3 linked regions of the Coturnix japonica genome follow. The protein of the gene in region 2 interacts with the protein of the main gene of each other region in a pairwise test. Links are inferred from orthologs where the notes say so. Each region holds a gene or a part of one and is shown on either strand. Other genes may lie near its edges. The genes, in order: SH3RF2, PPP1CC and AATK.

The links.
Region 1: the proteins of PPP1CC (region 2) and SH3RF2 interact in a two-hybrid assay, tested with the Homo sapiens proteins (2 studies listed by BioGRID and IntAct). The link is inferred for Coturnix japonica from reciprocal best matches to the Homo sapiens genes PPP1CC and SH3RF2.
Region 3: the proteins of PPP1CC (region 2) and AATK interact in binary tests that used the Homo sapiens proteins (3 or more experiments, as listed by UniProt). The link is inferred for Coturnix japonica from reciprocal best matches to the Homo sapiens genes PPP1CC and AATK.

Annotation. Positions count from the first base shown.
Region 1 is NC_029528.1:470,509-474,155, reverse strand, and holds part of SH3RF2 (E3 ubiquitin-protein ligase SH3RF2), read left to right. Parts: intron 1-772; coding exon 773-870; intron 871-1,565; coding exon 1,566-1,747; intron 1,748-2,840; coding exon 2,841-3,184; intron 3,185-3,647. UniProt on the Homo sapiens protein: Has E3 ubiquitin-protein ligase activity. Acts as an anti-apoptotic regulator of the JNK pathway by ubiquitinating and promoting the degradation of SH3RF1, a scaffold protein that is required for pro-apoptotic JNK activation.
Region 2 is NC_029530.1:5,191,180-5,194,926, reverse strand, and holds the start of PPP1CC (serine/threonine-protein phosphatase PP1-gamma catalytic subunit), read left to right. Parts: upstream 1-1,061; 5' UTR 1,062-1,301; coding exon 1,302-1,356; intron 1,357-3,747. UniProt on the Homo sapiens protein: Protein phosphatase that associates with over 200 regulatory proteins to form highly specific holoenzymes which dephosphorylate hundreds of biological targets.
Region 3 is NC_029533.1:5,066,308-5,069,954, reverse strand, and holds part of AATK (serine/threonine-protein kinase LMTK1), read left to right. Parts: intron 1-1,405; coding exon 1,406-1,539; intron 1,540-2,253; coding exon 2,254-2,395; intron 2,396-2,954; exon of another isoform or gene 2,955-2,969; coding exon of another isoform or gene 2,970-3,207; intron 3,208-3,277; coding exon 3,278-3,357; intron 3,358-3,515; coding exon 3,516-3,634; intron 3,635-3,647. UniProt on the Homo sapiens protein: May be involved in neuronal differentiation.

The sequences.
Region 1 (3,647 bases), on a different chromosome or scaffold from region 2:
AACCCAGCAGGCATTTTGTGCTTAGCATTAGCCTGCAAAGAGCCCTGGATATTAGGCCCTCTTTTATGTGAGAGGAAATGAAGCCCTACAATAGAACCATAATTCAATTGAATCGGTACCGTGTCTCATGACCCCAATATAATTTTACCCAAAGTGTCTCGGTGTGAGCTATTGTCAACAGCATAAACCGCAGCACCGATGATGTGCTGCCTGGTCAGGTTTCCTTCCTTCTGAACAACCATTTTTCTCCTGCAGACTCACAGGGATCTTTGTGCTGGGCTGGTTGGTGTGTGAGCACAGAGCGCAGTGAAGCACAGCCACTGCACTGGGGTGGTGCTGGTGGGGGAGCACAGAAACACAACAGAAGGGGCAGCAGTTGCAGAAGGGGAGCGGAGGCTCTGGGAGCGGTGTGGAGCAGTGACAGGAGGTGATGCTGTCCTGGTGCCATTTATCCTGGGCTGCACTGCTGGACACACACACAGCAACCAGCCAGGACAGCTCAGGACATTCACATTCAATTGTTTTGCTCCTGCAATTTGTAAGATTTGTTTTCAAGAGTAAGGGCAGGTCCATGTTCCTTAGCAAAACCTGTGCTGATTGAATGACCTTGCACCTCATTTGCTGGATCTGTCTGCAACAAAATGAGGTTCTGTGTCTCGTTTTCATCTTTTTGGAAGCATGGGTGAGGCCTGTCCAGTGATTTCAATGGCTTCTCCAGTGGCAAAAATAAGCCCCTCTTCACATTAATATACTGCATTCTGTTTTCTCTCAGCAGGTCAGTGCATCCTACTATCCTGCTCCAGGATCACTGAGGCACTCGGCAGCCATTGTCACTCTGCCCCACCTGCAGCATCACCTCTCAGCCAACATGTGAGTCATGCGAATCGTGCTGAGGGTCACACAGCACTCCACATCTCCCCCATCCCCAGCCCAGCAGCTCCCTGGGCTCCTGCCTGCAGGAGGGGCATTGGGGTGCAGGGCTGTGCACCTTGGGCTGGGGACATGCATGGGTGTCCGCAGTTCTGAGCAGGAGCTGCAGGGACTGCTGGGGCAGCTGATCCCAAACGTAGTTGTAGGGTTATGGAAAAATTTAGGTACAGTGCTGGAAAGATTTGAGACAGATTCTGACTGTTCCTGCTGCTGCCACCCAGGCAGAGCACACATCTGCACTACTCATGGTGTGTTGCCTCAGGCCAAGGCTCGTTGGTCCTCCATCCCTTTTGTCAGTGGGCACCTGTATGTTAGGGTAGCACGGCAGCATTCTCCTTGCTCAGTGCCCTTGGCTGGTTACCTGCTGCTTCTGAGACAGACGCTGTGACAAAATCTACAGTTCTTCAGTTCTGCTGGCCCTTCTTTTTCTCATATCCCCTCTGGTCAAACACTGCAGGCAGGTTATTCCCTGCGAGTTATCTCTGCAGTAACAGCAGTGCCCCAGAAGCTGTGCAGGGCCCTCCAAACCCCGTGTTGTGAATGCAGGGCTGGAGGACTTCACTGTGCTGAGCTCCGTCTGCACGCACCGCCGCCTCCCTCCACCACCAGCTGACGTTCTGCTCCTTTGCCAACAGGAAACCCAGCACACCCGACTCGAAGCTGCCCTCGCTGTACGCCTCGTGGACGCTGTCAGCCGCCTCGCTGTCCTCGCAGGGCAGCAACTCAGAGAGCGCTCAGCGACAGAGCCGGGCATTGGAGGCAGCGCTGCCCATGGGGCACACAGCACTGCGGCGCGGCCGCGGCTGCACCAGGAAGAGTGAGTGCAGGGGGACTGTGCTATGGGCTGAGCTATGGGCTGTGTCTGGGATGGATGCAAGGATCCACGAGGTGCTGCCAACATCGAGCAAAGGAAGCAGGAATGGCACTGAGTGCCAGTGTGCCATGGGGAGCAGTGAGCCCTGGTTGAGCAAACAGCACTGGGATGTGCGTTAGTTTTGGTCCTCCAGAGAGAGGTTTGTGGATTGTCACAGAGGACCTCGAGAGCTCCATGTGCAGAGGAAGTTACAGAAGGTTGCATGAGGTATTATCAGGAGTTCTTAAGAAAGAAGCTCAGAACAAAAGGGTAAAACTCAGCAGTGCCATTGTAGGAGTTCTGGTGAGCTCATCTCCTGAATACTTCTCATATTCTGATAACTCCAATAGAGTAAAATTAGAAACGAGCATAGAAAGGATGAGCAACAGAATGGAATAATTTTGTTTCAGGAGCAAAGTTTTACAGCTTAGAAACATCCAAGATACATGAAGTCATGAATAGGCTGCAGGTGGAAAGGTGCACTGAATGTCTGAGCAGCCACAGCACAGTCCCCAGGTTGGGGTGGAGATGGGCAGCGATGCTGGCCGAGGCCCAGCGCATTTGCAAGGGCCACTGCTGGAGGTTTTAGATTCAGCACTGGGTTTATCTTAAAAGCAGTTTTGCTGTAGAGGACCTCACACACCTGTGGTGGCTCTTATTAAAAAATCCATCTTGCAAACAGTGACGCACTGCCAAATAAATAAAGTGCACGACTTCCAGTGTTGCAGCCTGGAGAGCAGCTGCAGATGGAGCAGCCAGTGCAGAGCAACCAATGGCAGCAAACTATAGGGATGAGAGGAGGGCTTGGGTGCAAACTTACAGACATGCTTGGCCAAAAGCATGACTGCAAAGGATGGAGAATAGCAGGTCTGTGGGTGCTGCTTCCCCCATGGCACCTGGGGGGGCTCCATACAGGACAGAGAGGCAGGCAGCACCATGCTGGGCTGGACAGTACTGGGAGTATGTCCTACAGTGCTGTTGGTTCCCGCTGCATGCTGCTGCCCTGTGCTTTCCTGCTGGAACCTCACTAACCAATTTCCCCTACTCTCGCCCCCAGATGGGTCCCTGCAGAGGCCGGCACAGGCAGGGCTGCAGGCTGGCAACTCCCTGCGCCGTGTGCCCACAGCCGGGCTGCAGCCGTACCCACATGATGGCAGCCCGCCCCACAGCAGCCCCGCTGCTGGCACAGCTGAGGTGGGCACGAGGCCCAGCTTCTCCCACGAAGCCCCGCCAGCGCTCACAGTCAGAGGAGGGGAAAGTAGGACTCCATCTGTCTGCAGCTCGGTGATCCTGGACGCCATGGACACACTGGCAAAGAGTGAGTCAGTGCCCCGGCCACCCGCGTCAGCCCCGCCATCCATCCTGGTGAAGCCGGACATGTCCCGTAACAGCAGTGACAAGGTACAGAGTGCTGCCCACGGGCTGATGGGTGCTGCTGGGGTTATCGGTGCTGCTGACTCTGCTGTTGGAATTAAGCCCTTCAGAAAAGCAAAGTGCTGCAGTATGCCTTTCATTGGGAGCCAGTGTTCATCAGTTCAGTGGCAGTGATCAAAATTTGAGGCTTTCTGAGGTCTATGGTGAGGCATGAATCTCACTGAGCTCCCCATAAATCACAGAACCATTAAGGCAGGAAAAGACCTCTAATATCTCTAAATCCAAACCCTACCCACCCCCACTGTTCCCATGGACCATAGAACAGCTTCAGTTGAGAAGGATCCCAAGGATCATTAGAATCAATCCCCACACCACTGGCAGAGCCACCAAACTGCAAACACGTTCCCCCAGTTCTGGAACAACACCAGGGTCAGTGATTCCCCACCCCCTGGACAGTTCACTCCCACATCTGAATGTTCTTTCAGAAAGT
Region 2 (3,747 bases):
CAAACTCTGCAAGGTCTGAAATGTGGGGGTAAGCAAAATAGTTCAGACACCAGAGGCAAAAAAGCAGACATCAAAAGTTGATCTGGACTGTAGCAGGCTGATATCCAGACACACGCAGCAGGAGTTAGGAAAACACTGAGCATCTAGATAGGAAAAACAACATTTGACCCTCACATCACACCTCCTTTGTTTTCCCAGTGTTGAACAGTCTGTGTAGGTCTTTGAAATGTACACAGACACACTGAGTTGAACAGACCTAGGAAATATGTAATGTGAAGCAAGGGGAAGCGTGGGCAACTTGCATTTCTTAGGATCCACCTACATACAGGAATTAAATAAGGAGCTTTTCATCACTAGCTGCATATATATACATGTGTATGTGTGTATGCACAGGGTATGTACGTACATTATACATGCAGTATGTGTGTGGTTTGGGTATTATGTATATGTATGTACAGGTGAATGAAATGTTCTTTATTTCAATACTGACTGTAGGTGGGCATTACGTATATAATACTTATGTTTTTATACATGGCCAGATTATGAGCAGCTGTACAATAAACCACATCCTTCGTGCCCTCACAGTGTGAACTCTGCTCTCTGCAATGGTGGTTATGTAACCATCGATGTGAGGTGTGTGTGCAGCTGCTGTGGGGAGGAGGGATGGAGATGCTAGGCCAGGAGTTAATGAAGCAATTAAACAACATTCAGAGATGCAACTTGAATGTCCTGAGTGGTGAATGTGCCTTGAAACTCAACACAACGCCTCGCCTCATGCAGGAGGGTGCCACGATGGGGCGTGCAGACACAGCACCATGGGGTGAGGGTCCAGGACCACAGGATCAGGCTCCAGTGGTCACAGCGGTGGGATCTCGGTGGTGTCCGCCTTGTTTGGGGTCCAGGAGGCGGTGTTATATGGGCAGAACACACACCCCTCGTGGGCACTATTTCTCCACCCTTCGGCGGAAGGATCCCGACACCAGCCGCAGTGCGCACTTCGCTCCGCCGCGCGCTTCCCGCCCGCCTATAAAAGGGTTCGTGCGCCGCCTTGCGCTCGTGGTATCCATCCGCTCCCCCGAGCTCGCTGAGGAGACGGCCGCCATTTTGTTCCGCGCCGGAGCTGCGCTGAGAGCGGCAGAGAAAGAGGGAGGGCGGGGGGGAAGAAAGAGAGCGGGTAGGAGAAAGGACACGGGGAGAGCACGACGAGACGACGAGAGAGGAGAGGAGCCGGGTCAGCCGAGCAGCCAGCGGAGGGAGGGAGGGAAGCGGCGGGGAGGGGTCCGCCTGGCCGCTGAGAGGCGATGGCGGATATAGACAAGCTGAACATCGACAGCATCATCCAACGGCTGCTGGAGGGTGAGGGGCGAGGGGAGGGGACGGGGGTCGGGATGGGGTGGTCGGGACGGGGCCGCGTGTGGAGCCGGCACTGGGGGTGGGGGGGGCTGTGCTTTGTCCTCAGCCCACAGAGCAATGAGTGCCCTGAGGAATGAAAGGGAGACACGGCGGGGTTGGGGCAGGATGGTTTGTTAAGGGAACTGAGCGGTTTTCTAAAGGATTTGAGGAAAAAGAGGGTTATTTTTGGGGTGAGCTGCCCTGATCCGGCCTCGTTCCTTGTTGTGTCTCAGGGCGGGCACCTCGCGCTTGAGGAGCTTCATGGGGTTTAACGTGTTTCCATCCGGCTCCGAGTCATGTAGGTGCTGATGAGACGAACGGGAAATGGCTTTCAGCAGTGCCGTGGTTTTTCAGCGAGAGGACGGCGGTGCTGCTGGAACCACAGGGACTGAAAATCCGATGGGTGTATTATGGGATTACTGAGCTAGAATAAGTAAAAGTAAATAGGGCTTTTGCTGTGATCCGTTGCGGGCTGTGCCTGTTACCAATTTAAACTACCCCGGCTTAAATTATTTAAAGGCTTCCCTTTGTAAATTTAGACCAGGATTTTCCTGAAACTCTAGTAGCACACTTTGTGCTGTCGGGTCCTGTATGTCTTACATCTGCCGACATTAATAAGCGTTCACTTTTACTGCAGGTAATAGTTTATAATTCTTACCTGGTCTGCTCTAATGTAACTAATGCAGTTTTCCCGGATCAGGTCATTACAAACAATGAATAGGATGGAGCAGAAGGAAATGCAGTTGGTTTTGAACAATTCTTCTTGTTTTAAAGTTTAAAAAGGGGCAAGATGTGCTACACCAATAGGTTCTTACCCAGCTTGTACCCGTGTTACACATATAGAGGGGATGGGAGTTGGTCATTCAGGGCTTTCAGACTGACACAGAGGTGGATGTGTACCATTAAAGATGGTAAAGATCCTAAAGATCCCATTACTGGAGGTTGCATCAGCTGCCAAGACTGAAATTAAATGTTTTGGCTTTATTGATGTTTCATTTGGGATTTTGGATCCTATGAAGCCGTAATGGTTTTTCAGTGTTTAAAATGATTACCACCTGTGCTGATATGCATCTTTATTGCGTATTAAATGCCTGTTGTAAACATTTCTCTCAGGCAGTGATGGTTGACCTTTGTGGCAGCCTTTTCTTTTTCCACTTCTCCAAAGGACAAAGTGATGCTGTGTTTTAGCAGGTGCTGCGTTGTGGATAGATGGATAAATGGTGTGAGTAGCTGTGAGCATCGTTCTCTGTGGTTGTTTAAAATCTGACTCAGCCTTGCCCTGGAATTACGAAGGTACAGTTAGGTTGGTGGTGGGACTGAACTTCTACAGGGCAGATCTACATGGTGTTAAGTGGGGAAGGGGGGGAAATCAGGTCTGGAGTATGTGCAGGGTTTGTCATCCTATTTAATTTGGAATAAATGAGGAATAATTTCTGTCTTACCTGGCATTCTTTTCAGTGTAGTGCTGGCACACAACTGGATGCAGTTAGTGCCTTGAAGCCTGATGGATGTGTTTCAATTGATAGGCTTTCAAACAAGGTGGCACTCAGGTTGTTGCAATTGCAGTCAAGTATTTCAGTGTTGTTGTTCTTAAAATGTATACTTACCTAAAATATATAATTGTACTATTAAAATCAAAGGATATGAGCAGCTAATATGGCATTATCCCTTCTTCCTTTTAAAGGTCAGGGGAAAAAAGATGCATTCTGGAGATAGGTGATGAAATACTCAAATCAGTGTGAGCAGACAGTTGTGCCTGTGTCCTATAAGGCACCTTAGTGCTGTGCTGGGTGTAGTCTGATGGCCTAGGTAAAGCAAAGTGCTTAAATGGTTAATCATAATTATTCTTGCTTTTGTTCCTAATGTAGGGCATCAATAATTGATTTGTCATTGGGTTTTTATGTGCTTTCTATCATGACTTCATGAAATTTGAGGTAATTATACAGATCAAGTGACTTCCCTCCAAGTAGCTGATACAGTCTCACCTGCCATAGGGTAGATAGCTAATTATTAAATCAGTCTTTAAAAAAATCTAGATATATTTATATATTCAGCTTCTTAATCTGAAGTGAATATTTGGTGAGTCCTTCTTGCTCCCAATGTTTGTAGCATAGAGGTGTTAGGCTTTGAGGCATCACAAAAAGCCTTTCTCAGTAACATTGTGCTCAGCCTCAGTGAGCAGGTTGATGGAAGCACTGGGCAAACTAATGAGGGCTGTGTTCTGTTAGGAACAGTTTGTCTGGTTTGGGGGCTTTTAGTAACTTTCCTAACAACAGTTTTCTCAAGAATAAGGCTTTTAAAGCTTTACTAAATGACAGTATCCAGCAGTGAGTATTGAAATGTTTCCTAAGTGTG
Region 3 (3,647 bases), on a different chromosome or scaffold from region 2:
GTTCTGATCTCGCTTGTGGAGTCAGGTGCCACGCTGGGGCTCTGCTGAACGCCACCCTTGCCCCACGGCATGGGGATGGAGCGCGGTGTTGCCTGGCTTGCAGGCAGTGCTGGAGCATCACTGCTCCCCTGGTTCTGGGGCTGGTGCAGCAGCTCCTGTTTTGGGATGCACCGAGCTGGCCATGCTCAGTGTGACCCCGTGGTGAGAGCAGTTTGTTGTGGGGGCAGCACTGGGAGCTGCTGGGGGGTCCAGTGATGGGGGTTGGGGGTGTCACAGTGATGCCGAAAGAGCTGCACGGAGCCCTCAAAGGGTGGGGACACCCCTCCTTGCACCAGCGGTGCTGCAGGTGGGGAAACTGAGACAAAACACGTTGTTTTGGAAATGGGTTCATCCAAAAAGCTCCATTTCCTGCGCCGCGGCCTTGGGCGGCTCAGCTGACAGTCCCTGCTGGAACGGCTTCTGTCGCCACGCTCTGCTCCCATCGGCATTCAAAAGGCTCTTTGCAGTGAGTCATTTTCTCTCTTGCTGTCCCACTATCCAAGGAAAATGGTGACATTCGCTGTACAAAGTGTGTTCACCATGGAAACCGGCTGCAAGCAGCAAGAATGCCACCCCCGGCTCCTCCCCGGTTCGGCTGCGCATCGCTGAGCCTCAGAAGATGGCTCTGGAGCTGCTGCACCACCAGCAGCCGCCGTGTTCCGTGCGGTGCAGAGCCCACGGTGCCCTGTGCCCCCAAACAGGGATCCCCAGCCCTCCTGTCCTTCAGGTGCCCTCCTCAAGGACATGATGGAGTGGGGGCAGAGCTGACTGCACGGTGCTTGGTGTGGTGTTGCACACTGGCACCTGGGGTGGGAGAGGTTTAGGGCTGGTGATGGTGCAGCCCCCATGGTGGTGCATGGTGGTGGTGCTTTGGGAAGGGGGTGCGTGGGTGATGGCACTGTGCCCCAATCCCTTGCTGCAATGGGGAAGGCACAATGTGGTGGCTCTGGGTGCAGCTCTGTGCTGTGTGGGGGCTCACTATGGGCCGGGGGTCTGTGTGCTGCTGTCCCCTCTTGTGGCACCACTGTGGCCGTCCTGCTTCCTTGCACCACAACGCACTGGTTGTTTGAGGAGGCTCTGGGTGGAATAGTAATGTAGCAGCTGCTGCCTGTGATGGGGGCTCGCACTGAGGGGATGTGGTGTGGGATGGCCCTGTGGGGTGGTGGGTGCGGGGATATGGGGTGGAGATGCACGTTGCTGTGCTGGCAGCATCCATGTCCATGAGCCATGTGGGATGTGGGGTGAGGTTTGGGGATACGGTGTGTCCGGTGGTGATAGAGCACAGTGGGGGCACCATGTGAGCAAAGCCCCTGCGTGCAGCACCCCGCAGTGCTGTCCCTTACCCTGCACCCCTATGTCCCCACAGACGGCACCCCCCTTAGTGAGCTCTCCTGGTCCTCCTCGCTGGCTGTCGTGGCTGTTTCCTTCTCCGGGCTTTTCACCTTCATCTTCCTCATGTTGGCCTGCCTGTGCTGCAAGAAGGGAGATATCGGCTTCAAGGTGAGGGCTGGGTACCTATTGTGGGCAGGGGGCTGCAGCCCCCACTGATGTCTCCCCGTGCCATATGACTGCATAGGATGTGCCTGTTGCTCAGTGCGCTGTCTCTTGGGTGGGGGCTCAGCCCCACGCATCACCCCGGGGCCAGGCCACGGCACGGTTAAGGGCAGCGGCGGTCCCACCCTCACGCCCCCGAGGTGGGAGGCACCGTGACCTCACAGGCACAGAATGTGCCGAGAAACAGTTTTCCCTAATTGCTGGGATTTTTGTGGAGGCTCGAGGCGCCCGCGACGGGGAGGGGTCAGGCAGAGGGGACACGCCGGGTCGTTGTATAACCGTCCCACACCGGAGCACCTCGAGCAGGGGAACAATGAGCCCTGTCGTGCCCCCGCGGCAGCTATATAGGGCCGTGGAGCCGCAGCCCGGTGCTGGCAGTGCCCGCGGGGTCGCGCACAGCACCATGAGCGGCGGCTGCGGCGGGGCAGCACCATGCTCACCATCACGTACCTGCTCGCACAGGCGGCTTTCAAGAGCCGGGGGCTGGTGCGGCATCAGTGCCAGGTATGGGGCTGGGGGGCACTGCCAGAGGGGCTCGGTGATGCGCTATGGGGTGCGGGTGGCTGTGCTGCGGGGCGGGCTGCAGGGAGCCCGCAGGGTCAGTTGTCTTTGCTCCTTGTGTGTCCCCCCCGCCGTGCGCTCCCCTCCGCCCCGGCACAGGAGTTTGAGAACACCGACGGGGACGACTACGTGACGGAGTTCTCGGCCCAGGGCTCGCCCGCCCCGCAGCATGGCCCCGAGGTGTACGTCCTGCCCCTCACCGAGGTGTCCCTGCCCATGGCCAAGCAGCCGGGGCGCTCAGGTAAGCTGCATGGGGAGGGGATGGGCACTGTGGGGTCCCCGTGCACCCTGGGGTGGGGTGGAGCCAGGAGGGGTGATCACAGCCCTGTGCTTGGCATAGCTGAAACAGCTTCCGATGGGGCAGCAGGAGGATGAGGTCCCTTGAGCAGCCCTGTCCTTCTGCACGAGGGTGGTTTGTTGCCTTGCGTGGCACCAAGGGGAGCAGTGTGCATCCCTGCTGCCATGTGCTGGGACATGGAATCGCTGAGGCTGGAGGAGAGCATTAAGATCATGTCTAACTGTCAGCCCATCCCCACCATGCCCACTGAACCACACCATAGGGTGCTCTTTCCCATGGCACCCACCAGCCCCAGCCCTGCGTAAACAAGGCAGCGAGTGGGAGAGGAATCTGGGGGGGGCTGCTGTGCCACAGCCCCCTCGCTCCCATTGTTGCTCTCCCCAGCTCAGAGAATAGCAGCAGTGTGGCAGGGCTGGGGCGGCGTGATGCAGCCCAACAATGGCCCCATTGCTGCACCCTTGGCATGGGTGCACGGGGGGCAGGACCTGTGCTGGGAGGGGGCTGGGTGTGTGGCTAAATGCCAGAGCTCCAGCTCAGCTCCATTCTGCTCTCCCCATCCCTGGGGAGGAGAAGCAGCTCCCCACCGCTGTGCTTGGGGACACCCCATGTCCCCACACCGGCACGGCCGCACCAGGATGCTGGGTGGGAAGGATGCAGGGTGTGTGGGGATGGCCCCCCCACTGCTGACAGAACATCCCAGGACGGCGTGGGGTGGCACAGCAGGAAGGACCCCAGGGCTCGGCTGGAATCGGCGGGTAACTCGGGTGGGTTGGGGCTATGGGTGGGCACATGAGCGCACAGGCAGCTGGATGTGCTCTGTTACAGTGCAGCTCCTCAAGTCCGCAGACCTTGGGAGGCAGAGCCTGCTGTACCTGAAGGAGATTGGGCATGGATGGTTTGGCAAGGTGAGCACAGGGCATTGGGGTTTTGGGATACTGGGGCAGGGTGCGTGCAGGATCTGCTCCCTGTGGGGATGTGGGTTGCAGGGGACACTGTGTCCCTCACTGGGAGCAAGGTGCAGTGAGGATGGATAGATGGGGACATGCCTGTCCCTTGCCCCCAGGTGTTCCTGGGGGAGGTGAACTCGGGCATCAGCAGCACGCAGGTGGTGGTGAAGGAGCTGAAGGCCAGCGCCAGCGTGCAGGACCAGATGCAGTTCCTGGAGGAAGCACAGCCCTACAGGTAGGGCCAGGGG